Linked DNA regions of Arabidopsis thaliana. The protein of the gene in region 3 interacts with the protein of the main gene of each other region in a pairwise test. Each region holds a gene or a part of one and is shown on either strand. Other genes may lie near its edges. The genes, in order: LBD18, bZIP68 and GIP1.

The links.
Region 1: the proteins of GIP1 (region 3) and LBD18 interact in a two-hybrid assay, tested with the Arabidopsis thaliana proteins (one study listed by BioGRID).
Region 2: the proteins of GIP1 (region 3) and bZIP68 interact in a two-hybrid assay, tested with the Arabidopsis thaliana proteins (one study listed by BioGRID).

Annotation. Positions count from the first base shown.
Region 1 is NC_003071.7:18,716,616-18,721,264, forward strand, and holds LBD18 (LOB domain-containing protein 18), read left to right. Parts: upstream 1-1,732; 5' UTR 1,733-1,985; coding exon 1,986-2,354; intron 2,355-3,410; coding exon 3,411-3,830; 3' UTR 3,831-4,114; downstream 4,115-4,649. UniProt on the Arabidopsis thaliana protein: Involved in the positive regulation of tracheary element (TE) differentiation. Involved in a positive feedback loop that maintains or promotes NAC030/VND7 expression that regulates TE differentiation-related genes.
Region 2 is NC_003070.9:11,563,610-11,569,276, forward strand, and holds bZIP68 (basic region/leucine zipper transcription factor 68), read left to right. Parts: upstream 1-1,884; 5' UTR 1,885-2,063; intron 2,064-2,334; 5' UTR 2,335-2,412; coding exon 2,413-2,511; intron 2,512-2,593; coding exon 2,594-2,653; intron 2,654-2,728; coding exon 2,729-2,803; intron 2,804-3,026; coding exon 3,027-3,116; intron 3,117-3,204; coding exon 3,205-3,264; intron 3,265-3,343; coding exon 3,344-3,513; intron 3,514-3,637; coding exon 3,638-3,692; intron 3,693-3,780; coding exon 3,781-3,811; intron 3,812-3,917; coding exon 3,918-4,150; intron 4,151-4,222; coding exon 4,223-4,300; intron 4,301-4,394; coding exon 4,395-4,520; intron 4,521-4,615; coding exon 4,616-4,708; 3' UTR 4,709-5,036; downstream 5,037-5,667. Other genes in the region: AT1G32140 (F-box family protein), read right to left, coding at 34-1,224; AT1G32160 (beta-casein (DUF760)), read left to right, coding at 5,092-5,202, 5,390-5,667. UniProt on the Arabidopsis thaliana protein: Transcriptional activator that binds to the G-box motif (5'-CACGTG-3') and other cis-acting elements with 5'-ACGT-3' core, such as Hex, C-box and as-1 motifs.
Region 3 is NC_003074.8:4,250,334-4,256,056, reverse strand, and holds GIP1 (GBF-interacting protein 1), read left to right. Parts: upstream 1-1,778; 5' UTR 1,779-1,850; coding exon 1,851-2,028; intron 2,029-2,484; coding exon 2,485-2,528; intron 2,529-2,646; coding exon 2,647-2,713; intron 2,714-2,793; coding exon 2,794-2,920; intron 2,921-3,001; coding exon 3,002-3,255; intron 3,256-3,384; coding exon 3,385-3,625; intron 3,626-3,755; coding exon 3,756-3,918; intron 3,919-4,065; coding exon 4,066-4,473; intron 4,474-4,548; coding exon 4,549-4,770; 3' UTR 4,771-5,099; downstream 5,100-5,723. Other genes in the region: AT3G13224 (RNA-binding (RRM/RBD/RNP motifs) family protein), read right to left, coding at 202-371, 466-571, 673-836, 972-1,012, 1,154-1,209; ABCG26 (ABC-2 type transporter family protein), read left to right, coding at 5,354-5,551, 5,631-5,723. UniProt on the Arabidopsis thaliana protein: Plant specific protein that enhances G-box-binding factor (GBF) DNA binding activity. May function as a nuclear chaperone or lever and regulate the multimeric state of GBFs. May contribute to bZIP-mediated gene regulation.

The DNA.
Region 1 (4,649 bases), on a different chromosome or scaffold from region 3:
TAGATATTGACCAGTGGATTTTAGAGTTCAAAGGAATAATAGGGTCGTAGGATGATAGGATCAACCCCCAATTTGAATATATGGTTAAACAACGCATGTGTGTATATATAATTTTTAAATTACGTCTATTAATTTGTAAGACAGATCAATTTATACAATCCTTATATATATTCCTTACCAAATTCGACGAGAATGTTAGATTTAGGGTTTGACTGCACGAGTGGAATAAAAAGTTTCATCAACAAAAGCGAAGTGATTAATTATATTTTATTTTTTTAATTAACTATATAATGAGCTATATATCATATATATCAAGAAACAATCTAAGAGAAAATATAGTGAACTAAAATAGTTTATGTTTGATCGAAAATGGTCGACCCTTTCTGTACATATATCCCCAAGATTTGAGGTACCATGTCACTTCCACCTCCTACACTATCTCATCTCTAATTTATTACGCTATTATATAATTCGACGATGTTTATGACTAATCAATAAACTAAAAAAATAAAAATAAATATGATAGCAAGAATTGTCTTTTGACTCATGCTGTTATGCATTCATGCCCAACACAATTTTTTTGGTCAACCATATTTTTACCTAAATCTAAAACTCGAATACGAAACTCAAGTTCAAGAGCTTAACATTTTTTTTTTCATTCATTTATTTAACAGTATTTATTTTATAAAAAAAATTACAACAAACTTCAATTTTTTTTACTAATAAAATGAAGGATTATTACACATTTAAGAAAAACATACGCGTGGAGGAGACATTGAGGAAGCACAGAGGCGTTACTAACTTTCTAAGGGAACGGCGCGTGGGACCCACGTGAAAAATGACGTCATTCGTTTCTTCGATCTTTCACTCGCTAGGCAGTTACAATCATTATTGACATGTGTACTTTTGTTGTTGGTACACGTAACTACGTTTTATTTCCATTTCAAACCGAGAAATTTAGACATTTTGACTCCCGGTTCACTCTGATCTCGTTTCTAAACCGGAATCGAATCCATTACACTTGATTTTGGAAAACGTGAATGCTCATTTTAACTTAGAATGAATGATTTAACATAGTTAATGCTCTTTTTATAAATTTGGAAAGATAAGTTGGCGAACGAGTCATTTTCTAGTAAGCGTAACTAACTATTTCATCAATTAATTATGAATTTTCTTCTTCTTATCAAAAAGGTCTTTCTTCAATTACATAAGCTTTTGCGTTTTTATTCCGATAATATAAAATTTTGAAAAATCGAATCATTAAAGAAAATAACTAAGAACTGGCATTTTGTATACACGCCATGTATATATATATATATAACTATTTTATCAATAGTTACAAATTGTAAAATTTTAGTGTTTGATGGCTAATTTAAGTTGGACCTCAAGTCAATAGTTTAAAAACTATGCCAAAAAAAAACTTAATTAAGGGTATAATATTTTATTTCATTTATCCATCTTGTTCGTAATTAAATTCATGAGATATCTCCAACAATTACAGTTCACATGTATATTCACAGTAAATAAAGAGAAAGCAAGAAGTTTATTTTTCTTGGAAAATAGTTTTTTTTATCACGAGATGTTCCAAGGGATATTAGGTAATCAAACGATTTTCCCCCTTTTTTCCTCTTTTGATTCATAAATAATATAATTATGTAGTTAAAGATTGTGAAAAAGAATAATAGAAGAGGCTTATCGCATGTTTGCTTCACGCAAACAACTAAATGTGAGAGAAAAAGAGAAAATAGAGAGAGATCGTTTTTTTTTTGTTAGCTTTGTCGTCGCTTGGCTTTAAAGACTTTCTTCTCTATACTCTCCTCTTACCAAACCCTAATTCTCCTCTCTTGATTCCCGTTTCTCAAATCTTCCTCTCATCTTCAAACAATACCAAACATAATCTCCATATTTTTACTCAACAAGTTTAAAACCCTAACGCAAGAGTGGGGAGATAGAGTAACAACTCGTTAATTGGGGGGTGGCCGGTCATGAGCGGTGGTGGGAACACAATCACTGCCGTGGGAGGCGGAGGTGGTGGTTGTGGTGGAGGAGGCAGCAGTGGGGGAGGAGGAAGTAGTGGCGGTGGTGGTGGTGGGCCATGTGGTGCTTGTAAGTTTCTAAGGAGGAAGTGTGTGCCGGGATGTATATTTGCACCGTACTTTGACTCCGAGCAAGGATCGGCTTATTTTGCGGCGGTGCATAAAGTGTTCGGAGCCAGTAACGTCTCGAAGCTTCTATTACACATACCGGTTCATCGAAGGTCCGATGCTGTCGTAACAATTTGCTATGAAGCTCAGGCTAGGATAAGGGATCCTATCTACGGTTGCGTCGCTCACATCTTTGCTCTTCAGCAACAGGTAATTAATAATTTATTAAACTTTTTCTCAATAGTAAAATGCGTTGGAAATCAATATATGTGAAACATACTAATTGACTTAAACTAACCACAATTTATTTTGGTGACAGTTACAATTTTCTTTTTCTTTTCCAAAGTAGCAAACTTCGGTTTCGTTTGGGAATAATCTATAATTTTAAACTCATGCAAATTCGTTTTAGTATGAACAATTTTTTGGTGTGCATGAAATGAAATCGTCGAGTTTTTCGAGAGTTTGCACTTTCTTGAGTTTTCTTGGTTTTGCAATCTTCTACTTTGAGTATAAAGGAAAAAAAAAGCATGGTTGTCTGTTTAATTACTTATGAAATCTTTTAATATAATCTATTATGCAATTATATAAAAATGATACGGTCGTGACAAGTCCCATTGCAAAGTTACGAAGTTTTGTTTTGCTGGTTTTCGGGAATTGGTCGGGTACAATTTTCTGTGTTGATACGTATATACACCATTATATTTTTTCCACTAAAAACCGTTTTCTTTCTTGTGAAAACTGAAGATAAATCATTTTGTTTCTTCGCAATTTTTGTTAACCGTGTAATAAGGGGATGATCTTATATGATGCGTGTCATTTTATTTTTTTACTATTTATGTTAATAGTTTACATAATTTGTGGCCTAACAACCTTAGCAAATCGAACATGCATTAATTCCATTCCTGAATGCTATAGTTAAAGGTGAATAACAGGTAATTGCTTAAACTGTTAGAAATGTGATAATTACATGAAATCATAAATTTTAAAATAACACGTACTAACTAGCTATTTATAGGATATCTTCTTAAAAAAACAAAAAACAAAAAAAACTATTTTAGGATAATTAAGCTATCACGTTAAGCGTATAAAAAACTACTGTAAGAGATAGAGATTTCACTGATCAAACTAAGTGCATAATATTTGCAATAAATTGTAAGCCATTAATCGCATTCTTACGTAAATTCCAGAAAAGTACAGGTTTAGCCTTAAACCTATATGTTTACATATCATGCAAAACAAATTCTAACTCGTAAAGTGTATACATAGGTGGTGAATCTACAGGCAGAAGTTTCTTACTTACAAGCCCATTTGGCATCACTAGAGCTACCTCAACCGCAAACGCGGCCACAGCCTATGCCGCAACCGCAACCGCTCTTTTTCACTCCTCCTCCCCCTCTTGCCATAACCGATTTACCTGCATCAGTCTCACCCTTGCCCTCAACCTATGACCTAGCATCCATCTTCGATCAAACGACGTCTTCTTCGGCATGGGCCACGCAACAACGAAGATTCATTGATCCACGTCACCAATACGGTGTATCATCGTCTTCCTCTTCTGTCGCCGTGGGGCTCGGTGGTGAAAACAGTCATGACCTCCAAGCATTAGCACATGAACTCCTCCATAGACAAGGATCTCCTCCCCCGGCAGCTACCGACCACTCGCCGTCTCGAACTATGTCTAGATGAGTTGGTTTTGATCGATACATCTCCGCATTGTTATTAGGAAAATTAAATTACAACTCAATAAGATTTAATTTTCTTTGAAAGTACTGATTATAAATTTTCTAACATTTATATTGTATTACTACTGTATTTTCACTTCTTTTGACTGACGAGTATTTTCTTTCTTCTTTGCCTTTACTTTTTTTCTCCTATTACGTAAGTTTTTGAATATATCCCGAGTCATACATACGTTTCCTAATCAGTTGTATATACTCCATCTTCTTATTTCTGCCTCGGGCATTTTCTCGCAAGGCCCATTCATATTGTGGGCTTTGACCTTCAACTTTTTTACTTTTGTCAAGCCTTTTTTAATCCCTTACATTTCAACAAAAAAGAATAAAAGAGGAAGTAAATTACAGAGTTATGGTCTTATGGCTGAATTAAACAGACATCAACATCTGCAAAGAGCACGAAGTGAATTTACACTATGCTTCTCGAGAAATATCCTTACTCACTAATAGAGTTGGGTTTCTCTTGTATTCTTTCTTTATAGAAGATATTTCCACGGGACTGGATTTACAATATCAATTGGAGTTGTGTAGTTTCTTAAGATATTTCCTACGAAATTGTCATTTGGTAATTGGTAATATATATAAGATTGTATCGCATGATGATCTTTACGGGCCTGATGTTATCTAAAACAATTTGGTAGTGGATATTTTTCAAGTTCTAAATTCCTTGGTGAGGATGTTTTTACTTGTATAAGTGTTTGAAAGAAAAATTGGTCTTGACGATTTTAGTGTAATCGATCAAAATTAAGTTTTACTAAAGAGACATATGTAA
Region 2 (5,667 bases), on a different chromosome or scaffold from region 3:
TCTTCTTCTTTCCTTCAACTAGTAGAGATACACCTTGTTGGTTCGCTTCCTCTTACTCTTCCTCTTCTTATCTTTCCTTTCATGTTCTGCATCTTCTTTAAATTTCACTAAACTTGGAACATAAGAGCAAGAGCACACAAATGGTGAAAAAGAATAAATGCGGTCTCCGACCTCCACAGATTCTTGTGGGTTCACAACTTCATCAAGATCAACTTCTTTCAAGCATCCATAATCTCCAATGATGTAAGCCGTATTGTTGCGTTCAGATTCGTCTATATCAAAAACCACGACGATTTTCTTCTCTTCGTCAATGAAGAAACTGCCAGAATCATCGTTAAACTTTAGACTAGTGAGTGGTTCCATTTCAACTGCTAAGAATTTGCTCCATGACACCGCATTCGGCTCTATCTTAGTTGTCACCCATACCTCCATCTCATAGGTATAGCAGCGCTGATATAAGACCGCAAGTTTCTCTCCTTTAACACAAGATAGTCTCCCAGTCTCTATAAAATCATGCGAAAACGACAAAGAAAGAAGTGGTCCAAATTTCTTTGTTGTAAAATCAAAACCGAGTAAGCAATCATACCCTTCCATTACTTCTCTTCCCTCAGTCAAAAAATAAGCATTTCCATTTAACGACGCGCCGGGCTGATAACATTTTAACCCCTTGTTGGGAATGCCATAAAAACAATCCCATGAGTCAGAAGAGTTCATGTCGTAAATCTCGTAGTAGCCTTGTTCAGAAAAAAACCTCAAGATCATGTGGTTCTTGTTGTTGTCGTACCCGAGAGCATATGTAACGCCTATGTGGTAATCATTCCTAGTTTTGATCCAACGAATTTCTCCCAAATACGGGTTCCAAACTACGAGCTTGCTTGAGTGGTTCCTTGTGACGCATAACAATAAACCTTCGCAATAAAACACTTTAGATATCTCGACTTGATTAAGTAAATTACCTATTGGCTTTATAGATGGATCAATGAACTCTTCACTGTTTTCATTGAGGCCGATTCCATGGAGATTGAATCTCATGGAATAAAGCCTATGATTCATTATCGTGAACCCTAAAAACTGATTTCTAGCTTCTGTTTTACATAAAATCCGGTTCTTGGAAAGAACGTTCCATAGTTTGCAACTAGATCTCACTGCTTTAAGAGAAGTTATCGGAACCCTACACAATATCTCTTCGACTAAATCAAGTGAAAGGTCGGACATCATCGTCATTGTTTGCAAATAGAAAATTAGGGTTAACTTTCACGCCCACCACTCTTTTTTACGAGGATTATATGTGCATCAGAAAGAAGACACACCTTCCTCACTAGGGTTTTACTTTTTCTATACAAAAAAAAATTCTTACTTTCATAAGATAAATAAATATGTGGTTTATTTTGCAACAAAAATAATAATATTTATGTGGTTTATAAATTATAATCGATATTAATTGTTAAAAGTAAAAAACTTTCTCACTAAGTTAGTAAAATGGTAATTTCCTTTTATGAGAAAGCATTCTTGCTAATTGCTATCATCGGAGTTATTAGTTTGTATCGACTATGGTGGATCTTACACATATACGTATTTGTTTTTAATATGATAGGAATACTACTATCTTCTTCTTCTTCGTGAGTCTAATAATCCTTTATTAAACCCTAGAATTCACACTATTTCTACTTTTTCTCTATCGAATCCCGTAAGCCTCACGTCAACAATAATCCGGTTTAAATCTGGTTCACTATTTCTTCTAAATTTGTAAGAAATAAAGATCTTTATATGTAATTGATAAAATGTGGGAACAGCAATGCAATTGATAGGTTTTATGGGGTTAATTGCATAAATAAAAGAAAGATTTGGGCTTAATTTTAAATGATATATTCCCTGTCAAGCCCACGCAGCTTCCTCCTCCTCTTCCCCGTCAGAAACACGACACGAACCAATCACCAAAAAATTTCTACCTCTTTTGATTCTAATCAATCTCACTCCAATTTCTGCAAAAATCAAACCTTTTTTTTATATTCATTTCACATCTCTGTTTTTCCTCAGATTCCTCAAACATTACAGATCTTCAGGTAATTTTTCCCCTGATCTATAGTTTTAATTACGTTTGAACAATAATTCAGTAACAGTTTAGTTTCTTACATTGCATAGATTCTGGAATCGGTGTAGTTCTTTAGATTTTTTGTTATCGTGGCATTTATTAACTAAAAAGTTACGTTTTTTATTTGTACCCTGAGATAAAAATGTGACCTTTTTAGCTTCCTTGGTTTTATCAGTTCATATGCTTAGGAACTGTATTGATCAATGTTAAGTTGGAGAAATCTGATTGTTGGATTTTGGTAGGTTTTCTATTTATAAGCAGAACTTGTTCTGTTCTTGTGTGAAGCTTTCACTGGTTTTGGAAATTGGTGAATGTGATTAATGGGTAGCAGTGAGATGGAAAAATCAGGTAAAGAGAAAGAACCTAAGACTACACCGCCTTCGACTTCTTCATCTGCTCCTGCTACTGTTGTTTCACAGGTTTGCTTTTGGTGTAAATTTGGTCTAGCAAAGTGTTTTTTGTTAGTGTCATGCTTTGATGTTTAATGTTTTGTGTTTTTAGGAACCTTCTTCTGCTGTGAGTGCTGGAGTGGCTGTTACTCAAGATTGGTCTGGCTTCCAGGTCTAATACGAGATTATTCTTTGTTTCTTTGTTGCATTTTGGTGTTATGGGGTTCATGTTTTTCTTGTTGAACAGGCTTATTCTCCTATGCCGCCTCATGGTTATGTAGCATCAAGTCCTCAACCTCATCCTTATATGTGGGGCGTTCAGGTAAATCGAATTTTTTTAGATGATTTTAAGCATTCTTTGGAGCTTCAGGGGATTAGTTGACGAGTCCCAAAACTTTTACTATAGATATTTGCATACTTGGGATAAATTCCCTTGGTCACTTGTGTAGATTTAATCGAGATTAATATTTTCTACCATATATAGTACGTTAGGTTAATGAATGAATGTAACGACAACTTAAGACATTGTTATTTCCTTTTTGTAGCATATGATGCCGCCTTATGGAACACCGCCTCATCCGTATGTTACGATGTATCCTCCAGGTGGCATGTATGCTCATCCTTCATTACCTCCGGTACTGTTACAGTTTGGATGTTCAGTTATGTTACTCAAAAAAGTGAATGTTTTTGTAGTTTCTGTTAACATGTTCCGTGCTGCAACAGGGGTCTTATCCATATAGTCCCTATGCAATGCCTTCTCCTAATGGAATGGCTGAAGCTTCTGTGAGTTTTCTCTGTTATCACTGTTTTTATTAGAGTATGGGTCAGATGGGATCTTGCTTGAAGAATGTTTTGGATTCAGGGTAATACTGGAAGTGTTATTGAGGGTGATGGTAAACCATCTGATGGGAAGGAAAAATTGCCAATCAAAAGATCAAAAGGAAGCTTGGGAAGTTTGAATATGATTATAGGAAAGAACAATGAAGCTGGAAAAAACTCAGGAGCATCAGCTAATGGAGCTTGTTCTAAAAGGCATGTGACTTCATATTTGTATGAACATCATATTGGCATGAATACTTATGATTGCTAGCTCTAGCTATGATAATGTTATTGGATAATTTTGTTGAAATTGTCTGATTTGTTCTCGGTTTAACAGTGCTGAGAGCGGTTCTGATGGATCAAGTGACGGAAGTGATGCAAATTCACAAAACGTAAGTTTCTAGCATTTCATTAAATCGTTGCGTTGGATTTCATATGAAAATTAAGGAGCGTTTATGAATATGGTATTGATTTTTGTAGGACTCTGGCTCTAGACACAACGGGAAGGATGGTTAGCTAATATAGCTTTTTAGTTCTCATCTCTTAACATGTAATAATGACGTACATGTTAGAATCTGCTTATTTTGAGGTTTCTCTTTCTTGTTTCGTAATTCAAGGTGAAACAGCTTCAGAGAGTGGTGGTTCTGCTCATGGACCACCCCGTAATGGAAGTAATCTACCAGTGAACCAGACCGTCGCTATCATGCCAGTGTCGGCTACAGGTGTTCCAGGCCCACCAACAAATCTAAATATCGGAATGGATTATTGGAGCGGTCATGGGAATGTTTCTGGAGCAGTTCCTGGAGTTGTAGTAGATGGTTCCCAATCACAGCCATGGTTACAGGTTTCTGTAAGTATCTCCTAATCTTACTTCTCCTTTACGTTTATCCAAGCAGCGTGTTTGATTGTTTTGTGAAATCAGGATGAGAGAGAGATTAAGCGACAGAGACGGAAGCAATCCAATAGGGAATCTGCTCGTAGATCCAGGTTGCGTAAACAGGTAACATAAACATGTTTCTTCAAGCTGATCTAGCATCATCATGCCTATCAAGTATGAATGATCAAAAGCTTTTCCTTTTCTCTTCTGTGTTCAGGCGGAGTGTGATGAGCTAGCACAACGAGCAGAGGTTTTGAATGGAGAGAACTCAAGTCTTAGAGCAGAAATTAACAAGCTTAAAAGCCAATATGAAGAGCTTCTTGCTGAAAATAGCTCTCTCAAGGTAAAAGATTACAATAAAATCTTCTTCTACAACATCCATAATCTGCTTGAACATAAATTGAAAGTTGCTGTTTTCTCTGGTACCCGTTGTTGCAGAATAAGTTCTCGTCAGCCCCGTCACTGGAAGGTGGAGACTTGGACAAGAACGAGCAAGAACCACAGAGAAGTACACGTCAGGATGTTGCGTAGACGGCTCGTGGTTCCTTCCACAACTCAGCTTGACTCAAGAACAGCAGCTAACAGATATATGTAATTTTAGGAACCAGATTTGGTGTGATTTCTTTAGTGTTTAAATAGGAGGAAGCATGAAAAAAAAAAATAGTCTCTTCTTTAACAAACTGTGTATATCTTTTCTTCAGATTTTGGACTTTTTTGTCTCTCAATAAAATGAACTCGGAACTCTAGACACATTGAGTTTAGCGATTGCGTTTAGCTCGAGTAGAGAAACGCAAACGCTAATCTTTACTCTTTAAAACGCAAACGCGATTGCGTTTTGTTTGTGAGCCACAAATTTCGGAGTCTTCTTCTCAATCTTTGAATACTTTTTCGAAATATCAAAAGAAGGAACAAAAATGCAAGCCATCGGTAGCAGCCATGGCAGGAGGCTCTGCTTCAACCACTATCTCTCCGATTCCTTCTCCAAATTCCTCTCTCCTTCTTCTTCTCCTTCCCTTCTCCCTCAGGTAACACTCTCTCGTTTCCGCTGCGAAATCTGTGGAAACTATCTCTACTAGGTTAGGTTTAAGTGTAGAGTTTTGAATTATCGAAATTGTCTGTGTAACTGTTGATGAACCAAATCTCTGAATCTCTTGGGTTTGATGTGTAATCTTAATTCCAGTTTTCTTGTTGCTTTCGTTTGTTAAATTACAGAGATGCCATTCGTTCTGTATCCCCAAGCTTGGAAGTAGTAGTACCAATGAGAATGGCAGAGGAAGAAGTGTAACAGTGAGAGCTTCAGGAGATGAAGATTCTAATGAGAACTTTGCTCCTCTTGCTCCTGTTGAGCTTGAATCTCCTGTAGGACAGCTTTTGGAGCAGATTCTTAGAACTCATCCTCATCTTTTACCCGTTACTGTCGATGAGCAGCTCGAGAAATTCGCCGCGGAAAGCGAGTCTCGTAAAGCTGATTCGTCTTCCACACAAGACAT
Region 3 (5,723 bases):
TAGCTATGCTAAGGACCCAAACTATAGCAGGGATTTCCTATCTTACTGTGACAAGCTCCTTACATTTGGTAAGCTAGTGGGTAGAATTCTAACTAAGTTAAACGTGTATAATGAAAGGAACAAGGAGAAAATATCAAATTGAAACCAAGATAAATATGTCATCATGAACCAAAATTCTAATCCCCATTTGTACAAGCTTACCTGAGTGTCTGCCATATCGATCATGTTTCCTTTGGACAATAATTCATCTACGACTTCTTCGCTATCAAAAATTACAAAACCAAAACCTCTGGACCTGTTTGTTTCATGGTCTCGAATAACCTGGTGCTCCACCACGTTCCCATACTTGGCAAAGAAGTCCTTAAGTTCATCTGATCAACAGAAAAAGAAACCAACTTCAATAAGGACAGGAAACCAGCATTCTCATGGAAAGCAAAAAAATATCATGCCAAGAGGGAGGTCTACCTTCTGTAACCGTTGAGGGTATACCACCAACGAAAATCTTCTTTGTTTTGATGTCCTTTGACTGATTGCCACCAGCACCTTTCGGAATAGTCCTTTTGATCTCAACCTGTTCCATCAAAACAAGGAAAAAAGTATTGATCAAGACCCAACACCCTACTAAAAATGAACACTATAAGCTAGTGAAGGAAGAAAAGAGAAGTGGCCGACCTGTTTGCCATTGATGACATGAGTATCTTCGATAACTTTGTCAACAACAGAAGGGTCAGCGAAGGTGATGAAACCGAAACCCCTAGGTTGTCCAGTATGTCGATCTCGCATAATGACAGAATCTGTAATCTCCCCGTACTTGCCAAAGTGCTTATTGAACACAGCTGCAATCAAAACCAAAGTGAGCAAGTAGAATCAACATTCCAACAGGTCTAACATCAGAAACACACACAAGAATCCATAACATAACAAAACTTAGAAACGCAATTTCTAGAACAAAACAAGAGGAAGAAACTTACTATTAGTCGTGTCTTTGTGCAATCCTCCAATGAATATTTTCCTGCAACACAAAAATTCCAAGCAAAACATAAATTAAACCTTAACCAACAATATAAAAAGAGTTACAAAGCCAACAGATTATGAGATATTTCCCTTAATCCTGTGGAATCAAACATGCAAGAGGTAGGAGAAGTAAACGTACCCAGGACTAGCGCCATCGCCGGACTGGAAATTATCATTACGAGATCTGGAACCCATCGCAGCTCCTAAATTCAGTTTTCGATTGAGCTAAAGGATCGAGAGAGACACCGAAAGCTAGGGTTTTGATAAGATCTGATGTCTCTTCATCTAATTAGAGGAGATAGCTAAATCGTGTAATATATATATATTCTTAAATTTGGACATCGACTTGTGGAAACAAAACAAAGTTAATATTTTTTTACACAGCTGTCTATTTTTCCTATTCTTGTAAAAAGACAAAAAAAAAAAAAGTAAATTGTTGACAGTGGGATTTGAACCCACGCCCTTTCGGACCAGAACCTTAATCTGGCGCCTTAGACCAACTCGGCCATATCAACTTTGTTGTCTCTCCTTCCATTAAACGCGTACAAAACAATCAAATAATGAGGAGGAAATCGATAAACAGTGACGTCAGCGTATAAATATACGTAGAGAGAGACATTAAGCGGTAGATTGTACGGAAATAAATAATAGTACTCAATCAAATAATGAGGAGGAAATTGATAAACAGTGACGTCAGCGTATAAATATACGTAGAGAGAGACATTAAGCGGTAGATTGTACGGAAATAAATAATAGTACTATATACGAAGTCTTTATGTTCAACCCATATTTCCTCTCTCCTCCTCCCTCCGCTTCTCTTTCTCTCTGTAACCAACATGAGCAGGATCAGCGGCGATGGCGGCTCTAGGGTTTCTATTCCGGCTGATCTGCTTCAAACCATTCAAAACATCAGAGAGGTTACCGGTAAACAACATTCCGACGAGGATATCTTCTCTGTCTTTAAGGAGTGTTTCAGTGATCCACATGAGACCACTCAGAAGCTTCTCTATTTAGGTTGTTTTACTGAGAAAGCTTCAGCATTTGTTTTTGTTTTAGTGTTTTTACTTCCTTTTTGTTGTATTGAGCGTGTGCTTCTCCTAGGGTTTTGTTTTGGATTTTGCTATTTAATGCCCTTTGTCGATTTTGGTCTTGTCTTAGAATCTGTGTGTTATGCTTAGAATCTTATGTTTTGTTTATTTAGATTTCTAATTGGTATAATATGTCTGGGGATGTTCAAATAAGGAATCTTTTTTACTGAAATGGAATATGTAGAATTTGGGTTCATGACTAAGAAACTGTCGTTTTAAATCTTTACCAATCTAGCTGGAATGTGGAAAGGGAATTTCTGTTTAGCTTTGATTGAGATTGGGCATCTGGGTTAAGTTTTGATTCTGTCTACTGTTTCAAGATCAACATAATCATGTACTTTGATAGCAGACATGTACTCATATATTATTACTGATCTTTCAGATACATTTCATGAGGTGAGAAGCAAACGGGAGAGAAAGAAAGAGGTAGCTTTCCTATGTTCTTTTGAATCCTTACTTTGCATTTTAAGTGTGGTCTTGAGTTCTCTGTTTAGCTTACATCATCTCGTTTCTCTTATGCCTTTATGTGTATTACCTGTTGTAGAATTTAGTGCCAAATACACAAGGAAGGGGCCGGACTGGACGGAAGAACTTTGCTTCAAGTTACACAGGTCATTGTGGTTTATGTTCTTTTACTTCTAAACTTGTGTTCTATATTTCCTTCCTTGATTCAAGCTCTTTGTTGATTCAGATGCCAGTAATGGAAGAAGTGCAGCTTTTAAAAAGCAGAGTGGAGCTAATCACATAATAGGAGGTTCTGGAACTGCTTCGTCTGCTCCTAACAATGCAAGAAACGACACAAAACCTTCTTCCATAATGTATCCATACTTTTAATTCTGTCTATGTCTTTAATTCCCTCTTTGGATATGGGCTTCCTAACGCATTCTATTCTTTTTCAGGGCCCCGAACCCTATAAGTCTTCCAAGTGGAATCAGTAACCAGAAAATTCAAGATGCTATCATATCCCCTGTGGACAAGGTGGACACAGAGGAACAGCCTCTCTCCAAGGCTACTTCTTCTTCTAAGGATGTTGTTGAGCCGGATAAGTCTAAAGAAAGTAGTGTATCAGTGGCTGTATCAGATTCTGTTGTAGAAAACGATACTCAATATGCTGTAGTTGAAACTTTTCAGATCCCACAACAGTCCGAGCGAGGTATAAATTATACCATATAATTACTTGCCTGCTAATGTTGCTTTAAGTGCATTCTGTATTCTGTTAAGTTGTTCCTGAGTTTGATTACAGCCTCTTATGTGATTCGACGTATGGCTTTATTTGGAACAGTCATTAAGAGTGAGGTTGCAGCCAGTAAATGCAAGAATGAGTCGCTTCTCAAGTCGGATGTTGGTGAACGGCCGCACGTAACATTTCCTGTCCACATTCAGGTTGCCAAAATGCTGGAAAATGGTCTGACATTTGGGAGCTTCGATTCTAATTTTGTGAGAGAGGCATCTTCTGACAAGTTTACTATTGGGTGTGATGACTCCAATATTGAGTCTTCTCATGGGACAGCCGCATCAGCTAGGTTGGTGACTAATAGCTACTTTGAGTAAATCTTACAGTGTTACTTGCTTCAATATTCTCATGAATTGATCTAGAGTCTCAGATGAATGAGTTTCTGATATGAATACCTTTATATGAAACTTGGTTTGCAGGAAAGATATATCAACTTTTTCTCAGGATAAGAATCATGAGATTTCAAATTCAGCAGCTCAGAACGAGTTAACATTGCAGCCAGATCAAACTGTTCTCCCTGAAGAAGGTTCAGAAGGAGATAAAGTAAAGAACGAGGTTTTACCAATCACAGACACTCATCAGGTTGGTTATTATCAAGAAGCCCCACACAATGTCTTTTTAGTCTTGTGCATTCATTGTCAGCATCAGGCCAACCGCGTGGTTTTTCTAGCCAGGAAATATGAACACAATGCTTAATCACTGTCTTTTATATTTTGTTGATAATTGCAGGCTGCAAAGTGTGATGCTCCACCTATCTCCTATCCTGATCAGTATTCCTTAGCAGCCGCTCAACAGGCAATGCACCTTTATAGGCAACAATACTCTCTTAACTATTTCCCTTATGGTCCATATTTCCCCCCTTATTATATGCCGCAACCATACATTCACCAGTACTTGAGCCCAAATGGGTTCCAACAACAGTCTTACTTACCACCCGGAGATGATGCTCCAGCACCTCCAGGGGCTGAACTACCTCTCACTCACATCAAACCCGGAAGCGACATTGGAAACTCTCCACCTACCACGATTCCATTCTCATATACTTCATACGCCTTCAACCACATCCCATCAGCAGCCACCATAAATGCTACTCACAAGGAAGAAAAGAAGGAAAACATGTACACAACTGGACCACTGGTTAGTTTTTCTCTGACTCTCCCCACTGTCATTGCATGTTATGCTATAGTTTTTTAACACGGCTCCATGTAGCAGAGTCTAGCCAATCTGCAGGCCAGTCCCATGTACAACTTATCCCTTCAAGGTCAGCCTATAGCTTTCCCAACCATGCAGGCTGGGATCCGTGGGTTATATCAACAAACACAGCCAATACTGGCGCCTCTATCTATATCTGCGAGGACTGAACCCATAGGACCATCGCACGTAACTAATCAGCAACCTCAAGCTGCACGAACAAATCTGGGAAACAACTACTAGGTCAAGGAGTATTACTAGAAAGATGCATATTCAGATTGGTACGAGATGTTTAAGTCTGGAATTTTGAGTGATTTTGTGTACATACTTAGGATACATCACCCCCCAAGAAGAAGATTAGTATTTGGCAAGGGGACAAGAGAATTGGTGCCTTTTGTTTTTTCAATTTTTGTGAGTGCCACAAACCGCTTTGATCTCGTTTATCTGTAATTCTTCCGAATCTTACAATATAATCAAGTGATCAGTTTATATGAGCAAGTGGACATTTATTCTCGTACGTTGTGATCGTCAATGAGCAAGCCAAGTCGATAAATGTAAATGATTTTAGTACCATATAAAGTATATTGAAATTAATATAGTTTCATTTGCTCCTTGTTCAAGTCAACAAATGCATTCAATTTAATACAAAAACATTGAAAGAATGTGGTCTACCAAACTAACACCCTGATAAACAGAGAGAAAAAGAGAACACAAAAAGCAAGAAAGTTTCAGGTTTGACACAGTTGATCCACACACTTCTTCCGTTATATAACACAAGCCTACATTCATAACAATTTTCTTGTGGAACAAGAATAAGAAAGATAACATGGAGATCAGAAGATCAACAGAAGAAGTTGAAGAGAATCATGTAATGCAGATTACAGGAAGCAATGGCATAGTTCACAACATGGAGTTCATGCCACAAGCTTACCTCAGAAACCAATACTCATCCGAGATTGACATTGATGAAGAGTTCGTTTCCACTTATCCTCTCGAAGATGCCCCTCTTCCCATCTTTCTCAAGGTTCAACTTTCTCTTTTGCTTTCGATTTTCCTTCATTAAGACAAAGCTTATTGGTTTCGCCTCTTTTATTTATATGCAGTTTGAAGATGTGGAGTATAAGGTGAGAAACAGTCATGCTAGCTCAGCAAACCTGGTGAAAACAATGGTGTCAAAGGTGGTAACACATACAAAT